7 linked regions of the Macaca mulatta genome follow. The protein of the gene in region 6 interacts with the protein of the main gene of each other region in a biochemical or structural test. Links are inferred from orthologs where the notes say so. Each region holds a gene or a part of one and is shown on either strand. Other genes may lie near its edges. The genes, in order: CFTR, TRIM28, TOP2A, SLX4, FOS, UBE2I and HNRNPM.

Region 1 (2,929 bases), on a different chromosome or scaffold from region 6:
TTCGAGTCTTCGGGGATACATCAGAGTAGCCCCCCTTGTCGAATAAATGTGCTTACATTTCCTACCATACCAGAAACTCTTCTCAAACTTTAATTAATTTCCACAAGGTGAGATTACTTTAATGAAAAACCAACCAAGGAAAGGAGTATCATGTGCAATATACTTTCAAATGTGTTTTGTTTGTTTCCTATCCAGCTTAAAAAAACAAGTCATTAGTCCTAACACAACTTTCATATTCTACCCCATATCAAAGAGGCTTAAAATCTCCTGGTAAGATGATGGACACACAGTTAATTTTTTATGAACAAACACAGTGTTTTGGACCATTTCTGATTTTAACTCTGAAATCAAAAGATTCTTTCTGAGGCCATTGTCTCATTCTCCATTACAGTCAGGTGGGAGCCCATCTTACCTCCTGATACTAAATTCTAGACTTCTCAAGGGCAGGAGACAATCATCTGTATATCTCTTTGGCCTTCATACACTCAGGAGTACTTGCCAAAAATAAACATTTAATGCACATTTATTCGAATAATCGATAAATCCAATACTTCAATAACTGTCATATTTTGATAGAATGGGTTTCTATATCTCATTTGCATTTTCAAACTTTACTTTTACTGTCTAGCTTAAAAAAAAGTCATTGACCCTAATACAGCCCTCATTTTCTCCCCCAATATCTAAGAGGCTTTATATGTCCTAGTGTTATGCCACTATTTTAATGCCAGTATTTTTTACTTCATATTTTTATCTATTTGTTACAGTTAGTTTTTATGATTTCAAAAGATGAATAGCAATCTTCCATATGTAATTTAAAAAACCCCACAGTTGATTATTTTATGCTATCTTTTGTCCTCAATCATGACAGAGTAGAAGATGGGACGTAGCACCAAGGATGATATCATACCTCCATCCTTTATGCTGCATTCTATCTTCTGTCTACATAGGATGTCATACTAGAGGGCATACCTGCGATGTATACATATTATCTTTTCCAGCATGCATTCAGTTGTGTTGGAATAATTTAGGTACACCTTTATAAACCCTGAGCCTCACAAGAACCATGTACCACGTATTGTTTCCTTACTACCTTTTGGGATACGTGGCACATAATAGGCACTCATTGAAAGTTTCCTAATGAATGAAGTACAAAGATAAAACAAGTTATAGACTGATTCTTTAGACTTGTCAAGGTAATAAATAGACTTTTGCTCAATCAAATTCAAATGGTGGCAGGTAGTGGGGCCAGAGGGATTGGTATGAAAAACATAAGCTTTCAGAACTCCCGTGTTTATTTTTAGAATGTCGACCGCTTGAGTGTTTTTAACTCTGTGGTATCTGAACTACCTTCTCTAACTGCAGGTTGGGCTCAGATCTGTGATAGAACAGTTTCCTGGGAAGCTTGACTTTGTCCTTGTGGATGGGGGCTGTGTCCTAAGCCATGGCCACAAGCAGTTGATGTGTTTGGCTAGATCTGTTCTCAGTAAGGCGAAGATCTTGCTGCTTGATGAACCCAGTGCTCATTTGGATCCAGTGTGAGTTTCAGAAGTTCTGTTACTTAATAGCACAATAGGAACATAATCATTATGCCTGCTTCATGGTAACACATATTTCTATTAGGCTATCATGTCTGTGAGTGGGGGCCTCCCCCAGGAAATGAAATAATTGCCCAGTGGAAATGAGCATAAATGCTCATTTCCTTATCTAAGAGTCTTGTGTTTTCTTCTGAAGATAGTTTTTAGTTTCATACAAAGTCTTCCCCCTTGTCAATACATGATGAAACTTTTAAATACATGGGCGTAATCTGATCCTTATGATTTGCCTTTGTATCCCATTTACACCATAAGCATGTTTATAGCCCCAAATAAAGAAGTACTGGTGAATCTACATAATGAAAAATACACTCATTTATAAAAGTTTCTTCGAAATATTTGTCCTGTTTATTTGTGGATACTTAGAATCTACCCCATGGTTGAAAAGCTGATTGTGGCTAACTCTATATCAACATTATGGGAAAAGAACTTAAAGAAAGAAGTAATTTAAAGAGATAAATTAATAGAACAATAGACATAATTACTATTAGTAATAGTAAATACAGATAATTACTGTTCTGTGATATTATGTATAGTATTTTCTTTCTTTTCTAGAACATACCAGATAATTAGAAGAACTCTAAAACAAGCATTTGCTGACTGCACAGTAATCCTCTGTGAACACAGGATAGAAGCAATGCTGGAATGCCAACAATTTTTGGTGAGTCTTTATAACTTTACTTAAGATCTTGTTTCCCTTGTAATGCTTGATAACAATCTCAGGTGTGATAGTTCCTGCAAACTGTAACAATGTACAAGTTCTTTTCAAAAATATGTGTCATACAGCCATCCAGCTTTACTCAAAATAGCCGCACAAGTTTTTCACTTTGATCTGAGCCATGTGGTGAGGTTGAAATACAGTAAATCTAAAATGGCAGCATATTACTAAGTTATATTTATAAATAGGATATATATAATTTTTGAGCCCTTTATTTGGGGACCAAGCCATACAAAATACTCCACTGTTTAAGATTTTTAAAAAGGTCCTTATGATTCTTTCAATAACTAAATCTCCCATGGATGTGGTCTGGGACAGGCCTAGTTGTCTTGCAGTCTAATTTATGGTATTAATGACAAAGTTGAGAGGCACATTTCATTTTTCTAGCCATGATTTGGGTTCAGGTAGTACCTTTCTCAACCACCTTCTCACTGTTCTTAAAAAACTGTCACAGGGCCAGGCACAGTGGCTTACGTCTGTAATCACAACACTTTGGGAGGCTGAGGTAGGAGGATTACTTGAGGCCAGGAATTCAAGATCAGTCCAGGCAACATAGTGAGGCCCCATCTGTCTTTATTAAAACAAAATAAAACTGTCACAGATTCTTTCAAGTGATGTT
Region 2 (4,214 bases), on a different chromosome or scaffold from region 6:
ATTTCATAGACTCATTGCTCTGTAGCCTCTTGTGATTTATAGTTTGTGTGTGTGTTTTTGCGGGGGGCGGTAGGGGGGCCGGCGTGGTGGCTTACACCTGTAATTCCAGCTCTTTGGGAGGTCGAGGCGGGTTGATCACCTGAGGTGGGGAGTTGGAGACCAGCCTGGCCAAAGTGGTGAAAGTCAGTCTCTACTAAAAATACAAAAAATAGTCGGGCGTGTGGAGGCGGATGTCTGTAATCCCAGCTACTCAGGAGGCTGAGGCAGGATAATTGCTTGAACCCGGGAGGCAGAGGTTGCAGTGAGCCGAGATCGCGCCACTGCACTCCAGCCTGGGCAACAGAGCAAAACTCCGTCTCAAAACAAACACAAAAAGATTTCTTCTTTTGAGATGGAGTTTCGCTCTTTTCTCCCAGGCTGTAGTGCAATGGCATGATCTCGGCTCACTACAACCTTCGCCTTCCGGGTTCAAGCGATTCTCCTGCCTCAGCCTCCCGAGTAGCTGGGAGTACAGGCGCCCGCCACCACGCCCGGCTAATTTTTGTATTTTTAGTAGAGACGGGGTTTCACCACGTTGCCCAGGCTGGTCTCGAACTCCCGACCTCAGGTGATCGACCCGCCTCGACCTCCCAAAGTGCTGGGATTAAAGGCGTGAGCCGCCGCGCCCGGCCACATTTTTTTCGATCTGTTGTCTAGGCTGGCGTGCAGTGGCACAATCCCGGCTCACTGCTGCCCCGGCCTCCTGGGCTAAACGGAGCCTCCCGATTCGCCTAAGAAAATGGTGGGATTACAGGTATGAGCCACGGCGCCCGTCTGTGATCTACATTTGATTTAGGCAACTTTCTGTGTTTCTCAAGTTTAACTATAACGTGGTTAAAATTCAAAAGTCAGCCCCTGCTCTCACACAGGCGCTTCCTCCCTCCTGGGATGGAGCCTGTCCTCCCCTCTCCCGGGGCACAGCCCTTTACTCCGTCTTGGCCCCGCCTACTTCTCCATTGGCCCTGCCCCCTATCCCGAACGCTTAGTGACGCAAAGGCTGGAGACGACTCTACGCGAGCGAAAAGACGCGGGTTGAGGAAGAGTTACGGACTGCCCATGCGCTTGGGCGCACAGCGGCCCGCTTCGGTGTGGTCTGGAGGTGGAGCTGAGAGGGGAATCACACTCTATAAAGGTGCGCACACCCCACTGGCGGATTAAATTGCGGCAGTGACGTCACAGAGGGACCGCCCCGCCCCCACAAGACCCCACCGACGTGGGGTTGGCCGTGGTGGAAGGACCCGGAGTGGGCGCGTGCGTACTGGCAGCCTCTCCCGCCCCGACCGGCCTGGGCCCCGCCCCCGGGCGTGCGGCGCCCAATGCGCGTGCGCGGCGGCGTCGGCGCCAGTTATTTCTGTCCCGCCCCCCGGCCTCGGCTCTTTCTGCGAGCGGGCGCGCGGGCGAGCGGTTGTGCTTGTGCTTGTGGCGCGTGGTGAGGGTTTCGGCGGCGGCTGAGGAAGAAGCGCGGGCGGCGCCTTCGGGAGGCGAGCAGGCAGCAGTTGGCGGTGCCGCAGCAGCGTCCCGCGCGCGGCGGGCAGCGGCCCAGGAGGCGCGTGGCGGTGCTCGGCCTCGCGGCGGCGGCGGCGGCGGCCCAGCAGTTGGCGGCGAGCGCGTCTGCGCCTGCGCGGCGGGCCCCGCGCCCCTCCTCCCCCCTGGGCGCCCCCGGCGGCGTGTGAATGGCGGCCTCGGCGGCGGCAGCCTCGGCAGCAGCGGCCTCGGCCGCCTCTGGCAGCCCGGGCCCGGGCGAGAGCTCCGCTGGCGGCGAAAAGCGCTCCACCGCTTCTTCGACCGCGGCCTCGGCCTCGGCCTCGGCCTCGGTGTCGTCGCCCGCGGGGGGCGGCGCCGAGGCGCTGGAGCTGCTGGAGCACTGCGGCGTGTGCAGAGAGCGCCTGCGACCCGAGAGGGAGCCCCGCCTGCTGCCCTGTTTGCACTCGGCCTGTAGTGCCTGCCTAGGGCCCGCGGCGCCCGCCGCCGCCAACAGCTCCGGGGACGGCGGGGCTGCGGGCGACGGCGCCGGTAAGTACGAAGTGATCGGGGCCACCCCTCCCCCTACTCTCTGCCTTTGATTCCCACTGGGTGCAGAGATGAGGATGCCACCTGGGCAAGAGGATGGGGGCCCGGACAGTGCACGGGGAGTACTTTCTGGGTCCTGCATAGGAACGTGGGTTTGAGCTGGCCGCTGAGATGAGACATCTGACTAAAGTTGGAGAAAGGGCTCAGGGAGGGGAGGGGAGGGGCTGCCTCGCTGCGGGGTAATGGTCGGGGGCCCACCCAGCACGGGGATGCGGGGGGCCATAACTTGGGTGGGAACTTGTAACAGTCTCCCACATCCCTGCCTCTTGAAGTGGTGGACTGTCCCGTGTGCAAGCAACAGTGCTTCTCCAAAGACATCGTGGAGAATTATTTCATGCGTGATAGTGGCAGCAAGGCTGCCACCGACGCCCAGGATGCTAACCAGGTGCGTCCAACCGCAGCAACCACAGGGAGGTTTCTGGGGAGGGGGCATCTGCCCAGGAGGAGCTTGACACCAGCTCCCAGGCTGTTACTCGACTTTCCCAAGGCTCTGGGTGGGCTGTCTAGGCTGGGTCAAGGGACCAATCTTAATCTTGGGTTGTATTTTCTGAGGTGTAGATGTGGATCTAGCAAGTTGTCTTGCTTTCTCTGACCCTGCCTTTGTCTGGCAGTGCTGCACTAGCTGTGAGGATAATGCCCCAGCTACCAGCTACTGTGTGGAGTGCTCGGAGCCTCTGTGTGAGACCTGTGTAGAGGCGCACCAGCGGGTGAAGTACACCAAGGATCACACTGTGCGCTCTACTGGTACGTGAGGCTGAGGGGGCTGTTGCTTTCCCGTGTGTGCCCTCAGTTGCTTTTATAATGTTGGTTGCATTTGGTGGATGGGTCCTAGAGTTGTCCAGGGGGTGCCGCCCGAAGGGCTGGAGAGCAGAACTCCAAAAGCAGGAAAATTGTGGTTGTGGTGTGTAGTCTCTAGGGCTTAGGTGGGAGGGGGTGGGAAGGGGAGACGTGGAGACCTTAATGTGCTGCAGGGAGGTACAGAGGGTTTGAGGAAGCTTATCAGGGAGTTCTCAGTCCTGGTGTTGAAGGGCTCAGAATATGCAAACAGGGAAAGGCATGGTGTGAAGGGCTTACTGGGTTTGTGGTTCCCTGGCACACATCTGGTATAAGATGCTGTTAGGGAAAATGAGACTTTGTGGGTCCATGGGTTATAAGTGATGGTGATTTCTGGAAACGTTTTAGCTTTTGAGTTGGCAGAGACTTACCCGGAGTTTGGTTTGGCATTTCCAGCTTTTCGCAGACACTCGCTAGCTTTGATTTGGAAAGGAGCTTGAGAGTCTTTTGAGTGTAGCCCAGTTTTTGGGCCAAAATCCTCCCATGAGTGGCCTTTTGGTAGCCATACCGTGATTCTTCCCATCCCAGAGGCCAGCATTGGTGGAAGATAGTGGGAAAGTGGCGGCTGTGGGGCCTGAGGAGCCAGGAGGGATAGGCAGGGGCTGCAGGGTGTCCTACATTCCAGACGTCCCAAGCAAAGGTCAGGGTGCAGGAATGGTGGCACTGGGGAAGTCAGTTTCCCCAGTGAGCCCTGATGCTACGTATTTTGGATTTGGTTGGTATGTTGGACCACTATGCTTAATCGGTTTTCTAATGGGGAAGCAGGCTTTGAAGGTTATTAATGTGTTGGTCTTGGGGTGGAATTATGCTGAGCACCAAGCTCCTGGTCTAGAGGGGGTGTGACCACCATTCTGAGGGTCCTAGTTTGACATTTTATCTCTCCCAGTATGAGAACCTCTACAGGTTTTCTCTGGGCTCTTGGGTTGTAAGAGACCCTGGTGTTTTCTTGTCACGAAAGAGGGAGGAAGTTAACCATGAAAGGAGAAGAAAAGGAGTCCAGGGTGGTTTGTAGGCAGAATTCTGAATATGTCCACTTGGAGAATAAAGGGAACAGTGTGTGTGGGGGGGTAGTCCTCTTTTTCCGGAGGCTGTCCTTACCTTTACCTTTGTGTCACCTCTAGAAGCTAGAAGAAAGGGTTGTGTTTCTCAGCTATGTTGGGGCAGAGGTTTCTGGGAGCAAGGAATTGGGCTTGCAGGCCTGTGTTCTTCGCTGGCCACACCCTCTACATCTTCCCAATAAATGGCCCAGTGTCACAGAATGGGCAGGAAAT
Region 3 (3,500 bases), on a different chromosome or scaffold from region 6:
CAGGGACCATATCTGTTTCTTTTCACGATTGTATTCTCAGAACTATCACAGCGGTTAATAAATTTGAAGCATAGATGGATGATAGATGGAGAAAAGTGAGTCTCAGAATATATAAAGGTGGTTGATTTCTATCTCTCCTCTAGGTACAAAGACAAAGAAACAAACTACATTGCCATTTAAGCCAATCAAAAAAGGAAAGAAGAGAAATCCCTGGTCTGATTCAGAATCAGATAGGAGCAGTGACGAAAGTAATTTTGATGTCCCTCCACGAGAAACAGAGCCACGAAGAGCAGCAAGTAAGGAAAACTAAAGAACATTATAGATAAGCTGTAAGAGTGGAATGGCCAATATACTTCAGGGTACTTTGCCCCAGAAATTACTGTGTCTTAATAGAGCAGTAAATTAAAGTAAGTTAAAGCTTTGAAACACTGAAGCATCTTTCAGGAGATTAAAAACTAAAATATTCATGAAATGTTATATCAACCTATGAATTAAGTGTTTCTCCTACTACCCTCTGATTTTTTGTATATGTTTTTTTACTAGCAAAAACCAAATTCACAGTGGATTTGGATTCAGATGAAGATTTCTCAGATTTTGATGAAAAAACTGATGATGAAGATTTTGTCCCATCAGATGCTAGTCCACCTAAGACCAAAACTTCCCCAAAGTAAGTATCTTTTCTAATATGGGTTTTTGTCATGATTGTTTCTAATATATTGTTTTTTGCTTAACACCTTTAGAATTGGTTGTCAGGATTTTTTTTTTTTTAATTCTAGACTTACTAACAGAGATCTGAAACCACAGAAAAGGGCTATGTCAGGTATGTATCTAAGTAAAAGCAGTGAGACATCTGCCTTACTGGGACACTCAGATCCAACTGGGTTCTAATCCTGGCTACATTATCCAAGTACTTCCTTTGGAAATAAATTTGAGTTCTTAATAACATTATGTTGACACTGTTCGTTGGGTTTAGTTTCACATGTAAATAGGTACTGCATTCAGTATACTAAAAGTAATCATAGTGCTTGCCAGGTACTTTGCTAGGTGCTAGAGATACAAAAAATAAAAACTGTTCTTGCTGATAAAAAATTCAGAAATTAGAACAAAGTTTTAAGAGTATGTTTTAGGCTGGGCATGGTGGCTCACACCTGTAATCCCAGCACTTTGGGAGGCCGAGGTGGGTGGATCACCTGAGGTCAGGAGTTCGTGACAAGCCTGGCTAACACAGTGAAACCCCGCCTCTACTAAAAATACAAAAAATTAGCCAGGCGTGGTGGCGGGCACCTGTAGTCCCAGCTACTTGGGAGGCTGAGGCAGGAGAATGGTGTGAACCCGGGAGGCGGAGCTTGCAGTGAGCCGAGATCAAGCCACTGCACTCCAGCCTGGGCAACAGAGCAAGACTCCATCTCAAAAAATAAAAAAAAAAGTATGTTTTAAATATTCCAGAAAAGTCACATATTTGGTGTTTAAATAGGAATTCATACCAAGCACAAAGCAGAAAATGGATTTTCATGTGTTGGCTTAAATGTACTATTTTCCTTTCCATTTGAAATGATAGACCTTGAAGCTGATGATGCTAAGGACAGTGTACCACTGTCTTCAAGCCCTCCTGCTACACATTTCCCAAATGAAACTGAAATTACAAACACAGTTCCTAAAAAGAATGTGACAGTGAAGAAGACAGCAGCAAAAAGTAAGCCTAAATCTTTGAGATGGGTTAATGTTGCAATTAACTAACTGGTTTTCACGTGGCAATTTCAATTTTTTATTGCCAAAACTTACTGTTGATATTACAAATTAAACCTTTTCCAAATGGAAGCAATTTCTTTTAGATCTTTATAATCAAAATTAGTAGTCAAGGCTGGTCCTGATTGTTCATTCAGTTACAGATCAAACTCCTTGTTCTACTCTTTTCCCTCCTTCTCACTACTGCACTTGACTAGTCAAAACACAAAACAAAACAAAAGCCAGGCAGAGTGGCTCATACCTGTAATCCCAGCGCTTTGGGAGGCTAAAGCAAGAGGATCGCTTGAGGCCAGGAGTTCAAGGCTGCAGTGAGCTATGATCAAGCCACTGCACTCCAGCCTGAGTGAGAGAGTGAGACCCTGTCTCCAAAAATAAGGTAGTCCAAATGTTTAAAATCAGCGTGTTTCTCTCAGTACCAGGCTTCATCTAGTTCATTTCTATGACAAGGATAGGATTTATAAGCAATTGCAAATGTTTAATGTAAAACATATTCTTAAAATTGAATGTTTAAGGCTGGATGCAGTGGTTCATGCCTGTAATCCCAGCACTTTGGGAGGCCTAGGTGGGTGGATCACCTGAGGTCAGGATTTCGAGACTAGCCTGGCCAATATAGTGAAACCTCGTCTCTACTAAGAATACAAAATTAGCCAGGTGTGGTGGCACATGCCTGTAGTCAGCTACTCGGGAGGCTGAAACGGGAGAATCGCTTGAACCCAGGAGGCAGAGGCTACAGTGAGCTGAGATCGTGCCACTGCATTCCAACCTGGGCGAGATAGAGCAAGACGCTATCTCAAAAAAAAAAAAAATAGAATGTTTAAGAATACTTTGATTCTCTATTTTCACCTCTCTTAGATTGTCTTTTCCTATGTTAAATATACACAGTCATCACATTGCTGAAGAAAGTTCACAATGAGAACAATTCATCTAAGAGTGGCTATGACTAGGTCGGGCGCAGTGGCTCATGCCTGTAATCCCAGCACTTTGGGAGCCCAAGGCAAGTGGATCACCTGAGGTCAGGAGTTTGAGACCAGCTTGACCAACATGGTAGAACACCATCTCTACTAAAAATACAAAAAATTAGCCAGGTGTGGTGGCACGTGCCTGTAATCCCAGCTACTCAGGAGGCTGAGGCAGGAGAATCGCTTGAACCCAGGAGGCAGAGGTTGCAGTGAGCCAAGATAATGCCATTGCACTCCAGCCTGGGCGATAGAGTGAGACCCCATCTCAAAAAAAGAGCGGCTGTAACAAATGCCTGTATTGAATTGCAGGTCAGTCTTCCACCTCCACTACCGGTGCCAAAAAAAGGGCTGCCCCTAAAGGAACTAAAAAGGAACCAGCTTTGAATTCTGGTATCTCTCAAAAGCCTGATCCTGCCAAAACCAAGATTCGCCGCAAAAGGAAGCCATCCACTTCTGATGATTCTGACTCTAATTTTGAGAAAATTGTTTCAAAAGCAGTCACAAGCAAGGTGAGTGTTGATTCTAGTCAGTCCTTTTGCTGTAGGTGTTCTGAAACACGTAACTAAGCCATTGCTCTTAATAATTTGGCATGTCGCCGGGCGCGGTGGCTCAAGCCTGTAATCCCAGCACTTTGGGAGGCCGAGACGGGCGGATCACAAGGTCAGGAGATCGAGACCATCCTGGCTAACACGGTGAAACCCCGTCTCTACTAAAAAATACAAAAAACTAGCCGGGCGAGGTGGCGGGCGCCTGTGGTCCCAGCTACTCCGGAGGCTGAGGCAGGAGAATGGCGTA
Region 4 (3,500 bases), about 2.3 Mb from region 6:
AGGTCAGGAGTTCGAGACCAGCCTGTCCAACATGGTAAAATCCTGTCTCTACTAAAAATACAAAAATTAGCTGGGCGTGGTGGCGCATGCCTGTAATCCCAGCTACTTGGGAGGCTGAGGCAGGAGACTTACTTGAACCCAGAAGGTAGAGGTTGCAGTGAGCCAAGATCACACCACTGCACTTCAGCCTGGACAAGAGTGAGACTCCGTCTACAAAAAAAAGAAGCTTTTTATGGTGGAGGAAAAAAGAGCCCTCTTTCATTCTGGAAATGAAACACTTAGGGTGGAAATCAGGCACAGTCTAGAAGGGAGTGAGGAGGGGACAGAGTCTGCATTCTGGAAGGCTCTGGACCTGCCCCTTTATGTGGGTGCAGAAACGATCATCGCACTATTTTCCTCAAGGTCCTTCCTGAGTTTCCAATCCCATGATCCCGCAGTCGGTACCCTCTAGTGCAGGGGTCCCCAACCCCCTGGCCTCAGACCAGTACCGATCTGTGGCCTGTTAGGAACCTGGCCACACAGCAAGAGGTGAACAGCGGGCAGGCAAGTTTTACCGCCTGAGCTTCGCCTCCCGTCAGATCAGTGCTGGCGTTAGACTTGTAGGAACACAAACCCTATTGTGAGCCGCGCATGCATGGAATCTTGGTTGAGCTCTCCTTATGAGACTCTAAAGCCTGATGATCTGAGGTGAAACACTTTGATGCTGAAACCATTTCCCCGATTCGTGTCCCATGGAAAAACTGTCTTCCATGAAACCAGTTCCTGGTACCAGAAAGGTTGGGGACTGCTGCTCTACCACATCTAAGAATTTGGTAGTCACTTTACTCCATCCATTTCATTGCTGTATGGCATGGTTTCCACCTCAGCGCAGTCCAGTGTTCACACTGTTAACATAAGATTATTCAGCACAGTTCAAAGAGTTGGTGATTGGCCAGGCACGGTAGCTTACACCTGTAATCTGAATACTTTGGAGGCCAGGGCAGAAGGATCACTTGAGCCCAGGAGTTCAAGACCAGCCTGGGCAACATAGCAAGACCCATCACTACAAAAAATTAAAAAATTAGCTGGCTGGTGCTGCACACCTGTAGTCCCAGCTACTTGGGAGGCTGAGGCGGAAGGATCGCTTGAGTCTGGGAGGTCAAGGTTGCAATGAGCTGTGATTGCACCACTGCACTCCAGCCTGGGCGACAGGGCAAGAACCTGTCTTCGTAAAACAAAAACAACAACAAAGTTGGTGAAACAGAAGATTTTTAGAGGCCCTGCTCACAGCCAGGACACAAGTCCTCAGCATGCAAACCACAGCCACACAAGTGCCAGAGGGCTGGCCCTGCTCTACCCTGTCCTGCTGCTGAGGACGCTAGAGCTGACACCAGGTTCATAGTGAACAAAGGCAGCTTGGACCTTTGACTCCTCCATCTTTGAGACCGCTGTCAAGAGCAAAGGGAACGCCAAAGGCGATGACTCTGTCCCGCCCACTGCTTTGCACACAGGTCATGGGCAGCCGAGCTGAGTTGGGGGTGAGATGGCAGAGGGCAGAAGGGATTCTCTTGGCGGGGGAGCCCATCTGTATTTAGCACCTCCACACCAGCATGGTAGGGGTGCAAGCCTTGAGGCCTTAGAATAGAGGTCTTCTTTCTTGTCAGGACCACACCAAAAGCACCTGCTCAGATAAAGTATGTCTGCTTTTTAGAATATTTCAAAGTACTGAAACTAGATGTATGTGGATCCATTTAGAAGGTTGTTAGAGTAGAAAACTACAGGAGCTGGATGCCCTTATGGGGTCTTTGAACCCCTCCCTCCCCCAAGGCCAAGCCTGTGGTCCTCAGAACGCATGCCACGGCCAGAGTACCTCATACTCTTTCCCCACAGTCCAAACCTGGCCTGCTGGGGAGTGAGGAGGGGACAGAGTCTGCATTCCCCTCACAGAGGCAGGGTCCTGGGCTGCCCAGGCGGCTCCTTTCCCACTGGGAGGCTGTGATTATCCAGGTTCCTAGGAAGGTGAATTTGAGCCATCCCTGGCCCCGTGGAGAGCACGGGCTTTTGCAAAAGCCAGAGGCATGACTGCAGTGCAGGGAAGGTGGGCCCGGTTTGTGCTAAGTTCCTTTGTCGCCTCTGCCCTCCTCCTGCCCAGCTTGTTGGGAGTCACCCAGGCAGCCTAGGTTCTCTCCAGCTGAAAACTCCTGTTCATTTCCTCCCAGCCAAATGCGCTGCTGCCCACTGAAAGTGCAGAGTCCCGTGGCGGCTGGTGTCATGTCGACCATTGGCAGCCTAAGCTGGGAAGCCCTTCCTTCTGGCCATGGGCAGAGGCACTGCCCTGAAGCCCCTGCAGGAGGGAAGGGATCCTTTTCTGCCGGTGTGGCCAGGACCATGTAAGGAGCATCGGAAGTATTGATGGGTGAAGGTGGTGGGAGTCCAGGGAGCCTGCTTAGAGCCGTCGACTGTTGACTCCATTGGACGGGCTTGGCCACATGAGGATGTGCAGGTACCACAGATGGCTCTGGACATCTGCCATGAGCCTGCTGGACAGCAGCACGTGAAGGAACCCAGACCCTCCCATGCCTGGGCCATGTTGAACTTTTGGCCTGTGATTGAATGAGTTCACACAAGGCAATAGAAGTGGGGGATGCGTCTGCCTGGCAGGTCCACATCCGTCACTTTTCTCTCAGGCCCAGCCCTCTCCAGGCCAGTGTGACCAACCTGAGAAGCGTGCACTCCTCTAGCCCCAGTAACTTTTCTTTTTGGCTGTCTTCTCGCTTCAGTGATCACGGTGGAGGTCTGAAACGGAGAGGACCCGCCAGCAAGAAGGAGCCACGGAAGAGGCGGAAGGTGGACGAGGCACCGTCCGAGGACCTGCTGGTGGCCATGGCTCTGTCCCGGTCGGAGATGGAGCCGTGTGCGGCTGTGCCAGCGCTCAGGCTGGAAAGTGCCTTTTCTGAGAGGATAAAACCAGAAGCAGGTTTGTGTGGCCAGAACAGTGGCCCTGGGAGAGACCACCGGCGGGTCGCGGGGGAGTGGGCTGACTCCACCGTTGATGGTGTCGCTTTTGTTTCTCTCTAGAGAAGAAAAGTCGCAAGAAGAAACCCCCAGTGTCTCCCCCATTGTTGTTAGTCCAGGACTCTGAAACCACAGGCCGACAGATAGAGGACCGTGTGGCCCTGCTCCTGTCTGAGGAAGTGGAATTGTCTAGCACGCCACCACTTCCTGCCAGCAGGATTTTAAAGGAAGGGTGGGAAAGAGCGGGCCAGTGTCCTCCTCCACCTGAATGCAAGCAGAGCTTTCTGTGGGAGGGCAGTGCCCTGACTGGGGCCTGGGCCACGGAGGCCTTCTACACGGCCAGGCTGGTCCCTCCCCTCGTGCCCCAGCGGCCTGCCCAGGTGAGTCCCTCCCCTCAGGCACATGGGATAGGCTTTTGCGGGAGGCCGGCGGTCCCAGAACTGCAACACTGGGTATCCACAGCCAGGTGATGGAAAGTCCAGGAAGAAAAGGCAGAGGCGGGAGGA
Region 5 (4,254 bases), on a different chromosome or scaffold from region 6:
AGGAGGCTGGGGGGCGTGGCACACTCTGGAGCACCTTGCCTCCCCAAAGCCCGGTGTTCCAGGACGTGGAGCCGCGCCTGGGGTCCCAGCGGTGGAGGTATTCCGCCTGGGCGCTGCTGGACACTGTCCTTCCAGCCCCTGTCCTCCCCTCTCCAAGTCCGCGCTGGAAAATCACCCGCTGCGGGCTCCCGTAAGCACAGCTTCCTGGCGGGACCGAACCAGCCCCCCAGTTCAGATTTTAGTTCCCCGCAGGAAGCACACCCCGCCTTGTCATCCCGAACTGACCACCCTGCCCACATAACCACACCCCGCACTCCCTACCCCCGGGGCCCAGCTCAGAACCGGGCAGACACCCCCTTCAAATGTCTTCGCACGTAGGTGTCGCACAGTGTTTATCTGCTGGTGTCTCAGGGATTTGACAGTTTCCTTAATATTCCCACACATGGCCGAGAAAAATAAATAAATAAATGCGCTGTCTTCCTTAAAGAAAAAATAAGTAAATAAATAAAGTACCCAGTATCGTAAAGTAGGTTATCGTATTCTGTTATTTTGGATCCACTTTCTGCTTCCAAACGCAGGAACAGTGCTAGCATTGCTCGAGCCCGGGAGGAGAGGGGTGAGGGTCTGCTTCCTCGTTTTGCACTGAATTAGGGCTAGAATTGGGGATGGGGGTAGGGACGCATTCCTTCGGGAGCCGAGGCTTAAGTCCTCGGGGCCGTGTACCCGAGGCCGTTTCTCCTATTCTTGAGCCTCAGAACTGTCTTCAGTTTCCGTACAAGGGTAAAGAGGCGCTCTCTGCCCCATCCCCCCCGACCTCGGGAACAAGGGTCCGCATTGAACCAGGTGCGAATGTTCTCTAGCATTCTGCGCCGTTCCCGCCTCCCCTCCCCCGGCCGCGGCCCCCGCCTCCCCCCGCGCTGCACCCTCGTTGTTGGCTGCAGCCCGCGAGCAGTTCCCGTCAATCCCTCCCCCTTACACAGGATGTCCATATTAGGACATCTGCGTCAGCAGGTTTCCACGGCCTTTCCCTGTAGCCCTGGGGGGAGCCATCCCCGAAGCCCCTCATCTTGAGGGTCCCACGAGACCCCTGAGACAGGAACTGCGAAATGCTCACGAGATTAGGACACGCGCCAAGGCACAGGCAGGGAGCTGCGAGCGCTGGGGAGGCAGCCACGCGGCGGCAGAGGCGCTCAGGCCCGCGCGCCACCCCTCTGGCGCCACCGTGGTTGAGCCCGTGACGTTTACACTCATTCATAAAACGCTTGTTATAAAAGCAGTGGCTGCGGCGCCTCGTACTCCAACCGCATCTGCAGCAAGCAGCCGAGAAGCCGAGACTGAGCCGGCGGCCGCGGCGCAGCGAACGAGCAGTGACCGCGCTCTTACCTAGCTCTGCTCCACAGCGCCCACCTGTCTCCGCCCCTCGGCCCCACGCCCGGCTTTGCCTAACAGCCACGATGATGTTCTCGGGCTTCAACGCAGACTACGAGGCGTCATCCTCGCGCTGCAGCAGCGCGTCCCCGGCCGGGGATAGCCTCTCCTACTACCACTCACCCGCCGATTCCTTCTCCAGCATGGGCTCGCCTGTCAACGCGCAGGTAAGGCTGGCTTCCCACCGCCGCGGGGCCGGGGGCTTGGGGTCGCTGAGGAGGAGACACCGGGCGGGACGCTCCAGGAGATGAGTAGGGGGCTCCCTTGTGCCTGGAGGGAGGCTGCAGTGGCCGGAGCGGTGCCGGCTCGGGGGCTCGGGACTTGGCTCTGAGCGCACGCAAGCTTGCCATAGTAAGAATTTGTTCCCCCTTCCGGAGGCAGGTTCGTTCTGAGCAACGTCTGGTTTGCATTCCAGGACGGATCTCTGACATTAGCTGGGGCAGACGTCTCCCAAGCACAGACCCGCTAACTAGAGCCTGGCTTCTCTGGGGAGGTGGCAGAAAGCGGCAATCCCCCCTCCCCCGGCAGCCTGGAGCAGGGAGGAGGGGTGAGGGAGGAGGGTGCAGCGGGCGGGTGTGTAAGGCAGTTTCATTGATAAAAAGCGAGTTCATTCTGGAGACTCCGGAGCGGCGCCTGCGTCAGCGCAGACGTCAGGGATATTTATAACAAACCCCCTTTCAAGCGAGTGATGCTGAAGGGATAACGGGAACGCAGCGGCAGGATGGAAGAGACAGACACTGCGCTGCGGAATGCCTGGGAGGAAAAGGGGGAGACCTTTCATCCAGGATGAGGGACATTTAAGATGAAACGTCCGTGGCAGGATCGTTTCTCTTCGCTACTGCATGCGGCACCGGCAACTCGCCCCACCTGTGTCCGGAATCTGCTCGCTCACGTCGGCTTTCCCCTTCTGTTTTGTTCTAGGACTTCTGCACGGACCTGGCCGTCTCCAGTGCCAACTTCATTCCCACGGTCACTGCCATCTCTACCAGTCCGGACCTGCAGTGGCTTGTGCAGCCGGCCCTCGTCTCCTCTGTGGCCCCATCGCAGACCAGAGCCCCTCACCCCTTCGGAGTCCCCACTCCCTCCGCTGGGGCTTACTCCAGGGCTGGCATTGTGAAGACCATGACAGGAAGCCGAGCGCAGAGCACTGGCAGGAGGGGTAAGGTGGAACAGGTGAGGAACTCTAGCCTACCCTTCCTGGGAAGGTGGGGGCTGGGTGGGAAGCGGCCCTGGAGGTGGAGGAGCACAGCAGAGAGGATTAAGCCCCTGACGGGGCTGGCTGCACATCCCTAACTGGGAACCCTGGCTCCAAGCCCATTCCATCCCAACTCAGACTCTGAGTCTCACCCTAAGAAGTACTCTCATAGTTTCTTCCCTAAGTTTCCTACCGCATGCTTTTAGACTGGGCTCTTCTTTGTTCTCTTGCTGAGGATCTTATTTTAAATGCAAGTCACACCTAGTCTGCAACTGCAGGTTAGAAATGGTTTCACAGTGGGATGCCAGGAAGTAGGGAAGCTGCAGGAGCCAGTTCTACTGGGGTGGGTGAATGGAGGTGATGGCAGACACTTTTACTGAATGTCGGTCTTTTTTTTTTTTGTGATTATCCTAGTTATCTCCAGAAGAAGAAGAGAAAAGGAGAATCCGAAGGGAAAGGAATAAGATGGCTGCAGCCAAATGCCGCAACCGGAGGAGGGAGCTGACTGATACACTCCAAGCGGTAGGTAGACTTTGCGGGTTGCTCCTTTTTAAAACTTAAGGGGAAAGTTGGAGATTGAGCATAAGGGCCCTTGAGTAAGACTGTTTCTTATGCTTTCCTTTCTCCCTCTGTATACAGGAGACAGACCAACTAGAAGATGAGAAGTCTGCTTTGCAGACCGAGATTGCCAACCTGCTGAAGGAGAAGGAAAAACTAGAATTCATCCTGGCAGCTCACCGACCTGCCTGCAAGATCCCTGATGACCTGGGCTTTCCAGAAGAGATGTCTGTGGCTTCCCTTGATCTGACTGGGGGCCTGCCAGAGGCTGCCACCCCAGAGTCTGAGGAGGCCTTCACCCTGCCTCTCCTCAATGACCCAGAGCCCAAGCCCTCAGTGGAGCCTGTCAAGAGCATCAGCAGCATGGAGCTGAAGGCTGAGCCCTTTGATGACTTCCTGTTCCCAGCATCATCCAGGCCCAGCGGCTCTGAGACAGCCCGCTCTGTACCAGACATGGACCTATCTGGGTCCTTCTATGCAGCAGACTGGGAGCCCCTGCACAGTGGCTCCCTGGGGATGGGGCCCATGGCCACAGAGCTGGAGCCCCTGTGCACTCCGGTGGTCACCTGTACTCCCAGCTGCACTGCTTACACGTCTTCCTTCGTCTTCACCTACCCCGAGGCTGACTCCTTCCCCAGCTGCGCAGCTGCCCACCGCAAGGGCAGCAGCAGCAATGAGCCCTCCTCTGACTCGCTCAGCTCACCCACGCTGCTGGCCCTGTGAGCGGGCAGGGAAGGGAGGCAGCCGGCACCCACAAGTGCCACTGCCCGAGCTGGTGCATTACAGAGAGGAGAAACACGTCTTCCCTAGAGGGTTCCTGTAGACCTAGGGAGGACCTTATCTGTGCGTGAAACACACCAGGCTGTGGGCCTCAAGGACTTGAAAGCATCCATGTGTGGACTCAAGTCCTTACCTCTTCCGGAGATGTAGCAAAACGCATGGAGTGTGTATTGTTCCCAGTGACACTTCAGAGAGCTGGTAGTTAGTAGCATGTTGAGCCAGGCCTGGGTCTGTGTCTCTTTTCTCTTTCTCCTTAGTCTTCTCATAGCATTAACTAATCTATTGGGTTCATT
Region 6 (4,300 bases):
GAGATGAGTGCGGTGGAGTTGTGAGAGGTGAGTGCTTTGCTCACCCTCAGCCAGGAAGTTGCTCGGAAGTCGGTGCTGTCAACCAGCAGAGCAAGGTGGTGATCCGAGAAGCTAAAGCTCAGCCGGTCGCGGGTGCCCAGCAGGACAGAAGGCAGACCTTCAGGCCACTCCTGGAGTGCTTGGCCCTGTCCTGGTTGCTGCAGTGTCTGGGCCTTGCTTGGCTCTGATAGATGAGGGTTGTTTTTGTCTTTGCCTCATATAAGTTCCCTGCTCTGAAGGGTCTAGTAACTGCTAGCCATTCACTTAGTGCTTATCTGTTAATTTGGAAGGGCAAATTCGATTTTCAGCGGGATTTTGAATGCTTCGTCTGTGTTGTGATTACATTGTAACACATTGGCCACTTTCTCCAGGAGGCCAGTAGGAGGGGGAGCAGGGGGAGGGGCCTGGCTTCTGCCTAGGACAGGGTGGGTGTGCACCTGTGGCTCCTTGCCCTGTGGTGCAGTTTCCTGTGAGACCACCCTGTGGTGCTGAGTGCTTTGGGGCAGGGGATACAGCAGCATCAGCCAGACCTTGGCGGGAGGTCTCACAGGAGCACCCTCACGACTTCTCACATCTGAGACAGCAATAGCTAGGTGCTGGGACGGGGGCCTCTAGGTGGCTCTGTCCGGTCTTCAGTAGGAGGGCTACCTGTGGCAGGGTTCCAGGCCTGGCTGGCCTCTCTGGGGCTGGCCTCTCTGGGGCCTGGCCTTGCCTGGCTGTGAGGATCGTGTTGGCCTTGGTCCTTCAGTGTCTGGAGCACTGGCCTGGGGCTTCAGAGACCTGCTTGATTCCTGGCCCCGCTCAGACCCCGGGCACCTGGGAGGTCGTGGCTCCTCAAAACGGCCGTTCACCAGGCTGCTTTGCACCGCACCAGGCACAGGCTGTGGCTACTCATGAAGCCCACCCTGGGGCTGGGGAAGCGAGAGCTGTGAGTCCTCAAGCCACAACTGAGCTGCTCCATGTGGAAGTGGAGGGTGGAGACACGTGCAGAGAGAGCCTTGAAACCGTGGTTGGCGGGAGCTCCACTCCACTCTGGGCTCGAACCCTGCCTGCCCACAGCTGAGCCCAGCTGTGTCCCCCACTTTCTCCCTTTCTGGCCCCTGGCTTCCCCCCACCCCCACTTAGAGAAGGGCATGGGGATGGGCAAGTGGTCCAGAGGGCAGGCGGCCTGCGGGCTCCTCCGCATCCCTGTGAGGAGGGCATGGGGAGGGACATCCCGGTGGGGCCCAGTCTGGGGCTACCTGTCTTGGACTTAATCGTGTAGCTGGAGGCCAGTGCCCGGATGGCCCCTGTCACCCTCTCGCTGTGATGCCAGCACCTACTGACTGGAGGACCCGGGTTCCTTTGCCTGATTTTTCTCAGGCTGCCCTGAGGATCCGTGTTTGGTTAAAAAGGAGCCAAATCCACCTGCAGGGCAGGCGGCTCTAGCAGCCCCGCCTGGCTTCCAGCACCCTGGTTCCCTGGCGACACTGGACCCGCCTGGGCTTCCTTGATCCCAGCCCCACCCCTGATTTCTGCTTTGCTGCCTCGGGAAGCCATCGTGCCGCCCAAAACCCGAATGTGGGCCTCTCGGAGCTCCTTCCTCAATGAGTCTGCTGGGGACTGGGCCTTGCCTCCCTAACAAGTGCCAGGTGAGGCTGCGGCGGCTCTGGCCCAGGTGGAGCTGCTGACCTGGCCCCTTCCTGCAGCTGTGAGGTGTGTGAGGTTCGTGGGCCTGCACAGGTGCGGGCGCCATCCAGGTCACCAGGGCCCTTGTAGGGACGGCCCCCCACGGTTTGGAAGGCCTGGCGCAACCCCCAGCTTTGTCGAGGTGGCCCTTGCTTGGCGCTGAGATGCCAGACTTGGAGGCAGCTTCAGTGTTCCCGTGGACTTTGAAAACCAGCACACACTTGGGCTTGAATTCTCTGGCAGGTTTTGTGCCCTGAGTGCTGTTTTTCATGGTAAAGGTGACCACCAGTAGGGTGACAGGTGAGGCTGGTGTCGAGGCTGCTGGCCCTGTTTGCCTGGTGTCCCCGGGGACAGTGCGGGCCGACAGGCTCCCGCTGGGAACCAGAAGGCAAAGGTGCCAAGCCCCTGAGGTCCCGTGGAGAAGTGTGGAGCTGGAATCTGGCGTGTGTGCCGCTGCCTCTGACCAGGGACCTGGTCCCGTACCCCATGCTCCTGCCCTGCCCCACAGGACCCGTCTGTCCCCTGAAGCCACAGGGACATGCTAGCGGCTGCAGGGTCCGGGAACGGTGGCCCTGTGGGGGGCTCCTCTTTCAGCGAGGCTGAGCCTCTGCCCTGTGGTACTTGTTCCACTCTGTCTTCAACACGGTGAAACCCCATCTCTATTAAAAATACAAAAATTAGCCGGGCATGGTGGCGGGGGCCTGTAGTCCCAGCTACCCGGGAGGCTGAGGCAGGAGAATTGCTTGAACTCAAGAAACGGAGGTTGCAATGAGCCGAGATAGTGCCACTGCACTCCAGCCTGAGGGACAGAGTGAGACTCCATCTCAAAAAAAAAAAAAAAAACAATATTAGGTGTCCCCCTGGCCCGGCTTGAGTCTCAGTTCTGAGCGCCTGATAGTAAGGCGGGGACCCAGATAGTAAGGCTGGGACCCAGCCCTGCCTAGTCCCCACCTGACGGTTCAGTGAGGACCCTGCCACGCCAGCCACCACAGGGTGGCAGCTACCGCCCAGCCACAGCAGCCCAGCCTCTGAACATCCGTCTCCACCGTGGAGCAGAGGCCGCGGCACGTGTCGCAGACCAGGGCTCGGGGGGCCCATGGGGAAGGGGTCCTACCTGTCCCCCCACCCCCGGTGATCTGGGATCCACTCATGAGGCCTCCCCTGGTAGACCCCGGGGTCGGACGACGGCTTCCAGGAGGAGAGTCTCTGCTGGGCTGGGCTGGCGCCTGTTAGGAGCAAGACTGCCCACTGCGGGCCGTGTGCACGTGGCGGGGCCGCAGGAGCCCGCTAGCCTGTCCTGACCCCGTGCTCTGCCTCCTGTGTTCCAGGGACTCTGAACATGTCGGGGATCGCCCTCAGCAGACTCGCCCAGGAGAGGAAAGCATGGAGGAAAGACCACCCGTTTGTAAGGAGGGCTTCGTTTCCGTGTGCAGTGCCGCGGACGGCCCCCCTGGGCTGAAACCGTGCCCCCCACCACTGGGAGGGAGCTGGCCGCGTGCCTGGGTCGCGCTGGTGGGGCTCGCGGGCCGGTTCTCGGTGGTTTTGGTCAAACGAGATGCCACCGCACTGATGTGCTTTTGTGGTTGTTTTCTCTCAGGGTTTCGTGGCTGTCCCAACAAAAAATCCCGATGGCACGATGAACCTCATGAACTGGGAGTGCGCCATTCCAGGAAAGAAAGGGGTAAGAGGCGCGCGCTGCTAGCCTCCTGCCTGTCGGGGCTCAACAGATGCGTGTGGCAACGCCACGGGGAAACTGCTCAGCCCCTGCCGTCTGTGACGGCCGCCCTTGTCACGGGCTGCGGACAACAGGTCAGATCCCCAGCTGTGGCCTGGCCCCCGCCCCGTGCGGACTTGAGCTCAGAAGGTGGTGCTGGCAAGGTTGGGGTGACAGCTGTGTCCCCACCGAGGGCATTTCTGGTTGAGAAGGAAGCAGGCTGGGCACAGGGCTGAGCTGTGGCAGAGGGGAGGGGCTCTGGTGTGTGTTGGGAGCAGGCCTGAGGGCGGGCAGCCTTTGCAGGCTGGAACCCGGGATTCTGCTGTGTCCTTCCAGGTGTGGCTCAGGTCACGGTAGCTGGGTTTGCTGGAGAGCCACCCTGGCGTAAAGCCGCCTCCTGGAGAACCTCCTGGGGCACAGGGACTGGCGACAGCAGCCTAGGATGCCTGCTTGGGGCCCCCTGTGTGTCTGTGGGGAGCAGGGCGGCCTGTGTGCCTGTCGTCTTTGCCCGGCTCCCGTGAAGCACTTGGCCGGGGACTCCAGGCTGGTGTGCACATAAGGTTCATGCTGGTGAACCCTGAAGGAAGGAGAGAGCCCTGAGGTGCTGGTCCTGCCCGAGGCCTTGTTCCCTCCGGCCCATGCCACCCTCTGGGTTTCACTCTGAAACTCAAAGCAGCTTCGGTCCCCCTGAGCTGAGCAGTCCCAGCAGGTCTCAGCTTTGCCTGAGACATGGTGTCACTTGGGTTTGTCGCTTGTCTGAGGCTCTGCTGAGAACGTCCCTTGCTCTTCACGTCACGGCGACGCAGGTGTGCGGCCCCGAGGAAGACGGGAGTGGTGTCGGATTGTGGGGTGGCAAAGGCGCCTCATCCAGGCAGGATC
Region 7 (3,500 bases), on a different chromosome or scaffold from region 6:
AATCATGTTTCCTTCCCTACCCTGCTTTTCTTTTTTACTTAGTTCAGTTGAGAGCTATGTTTTTAGTGCTATATTTCATGCCTTTTCTTCCTTTCCTGTTCCTTTAGCTGGACTCTTCTAAGCTGGTAGTTGAGTTCATTTGACTTTCTTGTTAATAGATTTGAGAGATGCTTTCCAAACAACCTTTCAGTTTCTAAGTCTTGAGAATATCATTTACTGTGCAAGCATGGTTTGCGTTGTCACTGGGTCAAACGTAACACCATTTGTGCTTGTTTTAGGATCCTGATGGTGAACATGCCAGGAGAGCAATGCAAAAGGTGATGGCTACGACTGGTGGGATGGGTATGGGACCAGGTGGCCCAGGAATGATTACTATCCCACCCAGTATCCTAAATAATCCCAACATCCCAAATGAGATTATCCATGCATTACAGGCTGGAAGACTTGGAAGCACAGTATTTGTAGCAAATGTAAGTAAACAGAACCATCATCTAAAGTAGAAAATAACTTTATGAAATGACCTTGTCAGTATGTTATAAAAGTAATTCTGACATTTGAGAAGAAAAATATAAAGAAGGGTTGTGTTCTTGATTTCTTTAAAAATCAGCCGTATAGGTAGACTTTGTCTGCATTCCTAAGTCACAAGCTTGACCATGGTCTCATTGGGGCTGTGATTCCTGAGTTTTGCAGGTGTTTCCACAAGCAGTAACCGAGTCTGCATTCTCCGTTGGTTTATTTGTGCAGTTTTGGTGCAGAGTAAGAGTGTACGAGCAGAAGTGCACTGACACCTTCCTCTTATTGTGTCTGGGGTGAATGATACCTCCACCATTGCAAGGGGAGATATTTTTAGCAGAAAGTAGCTTGGGTGGGGTGGGGTATGGTAAAGCTTATCAGGGAAACAATTTTTTAAAAATGTTCAGAAAATGAGTATTAATTTGAAGTATGAGGTGACTTAAGTTTCTGAGAAAAGAAACCATATATTTAAGTACAGTTTATTTACAGTGAAGGCCAGGCTTTATAATCCTATTTTAAAATTTCCATTGCAGTTGATTAGTTTTTGTGACATTATTTCCTAATACTTTTTCCAACCAAAGCATGTCTCATTCACATAGTAAAAATGTGTTTCTTAAGACGTTTACATTGAGGTTTTTACCCCGTTCTTTCTCGATTAGCTGGATTATAAAGTTGGCTGGAAGAAACTGAAGGAAGTATTTAGTATGGCTGGTGTGGTGGTCCGAGCAGACATTCTTGAAGATAAAGATGGAAAAAGTCGTGGAATAGGCACTGTAACTTTTGAACAGTCCATTGAAGCTGTGCAAGCTATATGTATCCTTCTGCAGGAATTCAACTTGTGAACAATTTGACCTAAATTGCTGTGTTAGTAATGTAGGTTTGTGTGAGGAAGAGGTGACTGTGTATTAATGTTTTTTATGTGACTAGGGAGAATGCATTACTGTGGAATTAAAAGGTTCTCTGGGCCGGACCGGGCATGGTGGCTCAAACCTGTAATCCCAGCACTTTGGGAGACCGAGGCGGGCAGATCACTTGAGGTCAGGAGTTCGAGACCAGCCTGGCCAACATGGTGAAACCCTACCTCTACTAAAAATACAAAAATTAGCTGGGTGCAGTGGTGGATGCCTGTAATCCCAGCTACTCAGGAGGCTGAGGCACAAGAATCGCTTGAACCCGGGAGGTGGAGGTTGCAGTGAGCCAAGATCGGGCCACTGCACACCACCAGCCTGGGTGATAGAGTGAGACTCAGTCTCAAAAAAAAAAAAAAAAAAAAAAAAGGTTCTTTGGGGGTGGAGTTGATTCAATACAGTGTGGATAGAGGGGATGGTTAGAACATGGGCGTATGCCCATGAGTGGTCTTTCTACTGTTTTCAGAAGAGTCTAGGTTTGAAGGAGGAAGCCCAAAGAATGCACCACTAGAGAGAAACTGGGTTGTTATTTCATGTGTAATACATCCCTATAGGATTACTCACTCTCTCCAGTGAGTAGACATCATTTTGGAAGAGGACACTTCTCCTTGACCCTAGGCTTAGCCTAGAGTTTTAATCCCATGGAGAGTACCCCACAGGAGCACATTCATGCAACTCAGACGAGACCGTCTTGGCATGTCTTACCCAGAAAGCATGGTCCTTCAGTTTAGATAGTGGTAGATGCCTGGCCCATTGGCCACATTCAGAGAACCTTGATGCCACTGCTTAAGAGGATGGTTTGGTGAAATTATAAGGTTACAAATGAAGCTTCACACCTGAGGAATAAGCAGAAGTTGTCTTGTCCTCCCGCCGTCTTTATTTATTGTTCCTTTTATGTTTATTGTTGAAAGTATAATGAAGAATTGAAATTGCTCATAAATTCATCACTTAGAGGAACTGGTAGCAGTTGGAGTATTTTTCTTTCTTTCTCTCTCTCTTTTTTTTTTTTTTGTATTTCTCTTGTGCACATTTTTAGAATTGCAAGAAATAGCCTTAATTGTAATACCAGCTATGTTCAATGGCCAACTGCTATTTGATAGACCAATGCACGTCAAGATGGTAAGTCAGTAGGATCTTTCTGTGTGATATACTCAAGGCTAGCAAAAACATGGAATTAATAAGAATGTACACATATCCACTATAAAATATTTATGGATTAGTCTAAGTTAAATAAGGTGCAGTATGTTGAGTGAATTTGTGAGAGAAATAACATTTTGCTGGTCGGGCATGGTGGTTCATGCCTGTAATCCCAGCACTTTGGGAGGCTGAGGCGGGCGGATCATGAGGTCAGGAGTTTGAGACCAGCCTGACTAACATGGTGGAACTCCGTCTCTACTGAAAATACAAAAATTAGCTGGGCGTGGTGGCACGCACCTGTAGTCCCAGCTACTTGGGAGGCTGAGGCAGGAGAATCAACTTGAATCTGGGAGGAGGAGGTTGCAGTGAGCCAAGATCGTGCCACTGCACTCCAGCCTGGGCAACAGAGTGAGATTCAGTCTCAAAAAAAAAAAAAACAAAACATTTTGCTCATGGCAACTCTTGACTGCATTAGATATTTTTCCTTTTGCACAGTTGACTGTTCATGGCACATACAGGTAGTCACCTGGGTATCCTGGTTGAGCAAGTGATCTGTTTCAAAGAATAGTTACATATGTGGGGTTCCAGTTTTTCAGAGTATTACAGTATAATGTTTGGTTAGCATCAAATCTTTTGTGAACATAATTAAGTCATTGATTCAGACAGCTCTTAAAGGTCTGTTGGAGCATTTCAGTCTTAATAAACATTTGCTCTGCCGTGGCTGTGCCAAAGATAATAATTACTACAGGCATGACTGGAACATGCTGGGGGCAATCTAGTCGGGGCTCAAATTCAGGAAAAAGATAAAAGAAACTATAAAGCAATTTTTTCATTACTGTAAATAGAATAGTTAAGTTTTTTGAATAGATGATAGATTCATATGACTCAAAAGTCAAAAAATATGAAAAGATAGCGTGAAGATAGTGTGAGTCCTACTTGGAC

Evidence for each region.
Region 1: of the proteins of UBE2I (region 6) and CFTR, one has a biochemical effect on the other in vitro, tested with the Homo sapiens proteins (2 studies listed by BioGRID). The link is inferred for Macaca mulatta from reciprocal best matches to the Homo sapiens genes UBE2I and CFTR.
Region 2: the proteins of UBE2I (region 6) and TRIM28 form a complex in vitro, tested with the Homo sapiens proteins (6 studies listed by BioGRID, with this or other methods). The link is inferred for Macaca mulatta from reciprocal best matches to the Homo sapiens genes UBE2I and TRIM28.
Region 3: the proteins of UBE2I (region 6) and TOP2A form a complex in vitro, tested with the Homo sapiens proteins (2 studies listed by BioGRID, with this or other methods). The link is inferred for Macaca mulatta from reciprocal best matches to the Homo sapiens genes UBE2I and TOP2A.
Region 4: the proteins of UBE2I (region 6) and SLX4 form a complex in vitro, tested with the Homo sapiens proteins (2 studies listed by BioGRID). The link is inferred for Macaca mulatta from reciprocal best matches to the Homo sapiens genes UBE2I and SLX4.
Region 5: of the proteins of UBE2I (region 6) and FOS, one has a biochemical effect on the other in vitro, tested with the Homo sapiens proteins (3 studies listed by BioGRID). The link is inferred for Macaca mulatta from reciprocal best matches to the Homo sapiens genes UBE2I and FOS.
Region 7: of the proteins of UBE2I (region 6) and HNRNPM, one has a biochemical effect on the other in vitro, tested with the Homo sapiens proteins (2 studies listed by BioGRID). The link is inferred for Macaca mulatta from reciprocal best matches to the Homo sapiens genes UBE2I and HNRNPM.

What each region holds. Positions count from the first base shown.
Region 1 is NC_133408.1:157,202,157-157,205,085, forward strand, and holds part of CFTR (cystic fibrosis transmembrane conductance regulator), read left to right. Parts: intron 1-1,362; coding exon 1,363-1,535; intron 1,536-2,147; coding exon 2,148-2,253; intron 2,254-2,929. UniProt on the Homo sapiens protein: Epithelial ion channel that plays an important role in the regulation of epithelial ion and water transport and fluid homeostasis. Mediates the transport of chloride ions across the cell membrane.
Region 2 is NC_133424.1:70,681,956-70,686,169, forward strand, and holds the start of TRIM28 (transcription intermediary factor 1-beta), read left to right. Parts: upstream 1-1,414; 5' UTR 1,415-1,712; coding exon 1,713-2,052; intron 2,053-2,381; coding exon 2,382-2,494; intron 2,495-2,720; coding exon 2,721-2,853; intron 2,854-4,214. UniProt on the Homo sapiens protein: Nuclear corepressor for KRAB domain-containing zinc finger proteins (KRAB-ZFPs).
Region 3 is NC_133421.1:64,770,273-64,773,772, reverse strand, and holds part of TOP2A (DNA topoisomerase 2-alpha), read left to right. Parts: intron 1-143; coding exon 144-296; intron 297-543; coding exon 544-667; intron 668-776; coding exon 777-820; intron 821-1,558; coding exon 1,559-1,693; intron 1,694-3,014; coding exon 3,015-3,214; intron 3,215-3,500. UniProt on the Homo sapiens protein: Key decatenating enzyme that alters DNA topology by binding to two double-stranded DNA molecules, generating a double-stranded break in one of the strands, passing the intact strand through the broken strand, and religating the broken strand.
Region 4 is NC_133425.1:4,820,416-4,823,915, reverse strand, and holds part of SLX4 (structure-specific endonuclease subunit SLX4), read left to right. Parts: intron 1-2,759; coding exon 2,760-2,956; intron 2,957-3,057; coding exon 3,058-3,374; intron 3,375-3,500. UniProt on the Homo sapiens protein: Regulatory subunit that interacts with and increases the activity of different structure-specific endonucleases.
Region 5 is NC_133412.1:148,475,682-148,479,935, forward strand, and holds FOS (protein c-Fos), read left to right. Parts: upstream 1-1,454; coding exon 1,455-1,595; intron 1,596-2,349; coding exon 2,350-2,601; intron 2,602-3,037; coding exon 3,038-3,145; intron 3,146-3,262; coding exon 3,263-3,904; downstream 3,905-4,254. UniProt on the Homo sapiens protein: Nuclear phosphoprotein which forms a tight but non-covalently linked complex with the JUN/AP-1 transcription factor. In the heterodimer, FOS and JUN/AP-1 basic regions each seems to interact with symmetrical DNA half sites.
Region 6 is NC_133425.1:2,512,388-2,516,687, forward strand, and holds the start of UBE2I (SUMO-conjugating enzyme UBC9), read left to right. Parts: upstream 1-1,500; 5' UTR 1,501-1,670; intron 1,671-3,035; 5' UTR 3,036-3,046; coding exon 3,047-3,112; intron 3,113-3,304; coding exon 3,305-3,388; intron 3,389-4,300. UniProt on the Homo sapiens protein: Accepts the ubiquitin-like proteins SUMO1, SUMO2, SUMO3, SUMO4 and SUMO1P1/SUMO5 from the UBLE1A-UBLE1B E1 complex and catalyzes their covalent attachment to other proteins with the help of an E3 ligase such as RANBP2, CBX4 and ZNF451.
Region 7 is NC_133424.1:9,317,659-9,321,158, forward strand, and holds part of HNRNPM (heterogeneous nuclear ribonucleoprotein M), read left to right. Parts: intron 1-278; coding exon 279-470; intron 471-1,172; coding exon 1,173-1,326; intron 1,327-2,490; coding exon 2,491-2,540; intron 2,541-3,500. UniProt on the Homo sapiens protein: Pre-mRNA binding protein in vivo, binds avidly to poly(G) and poly(U) RNA homopolymers in vitro. Involved in splicing.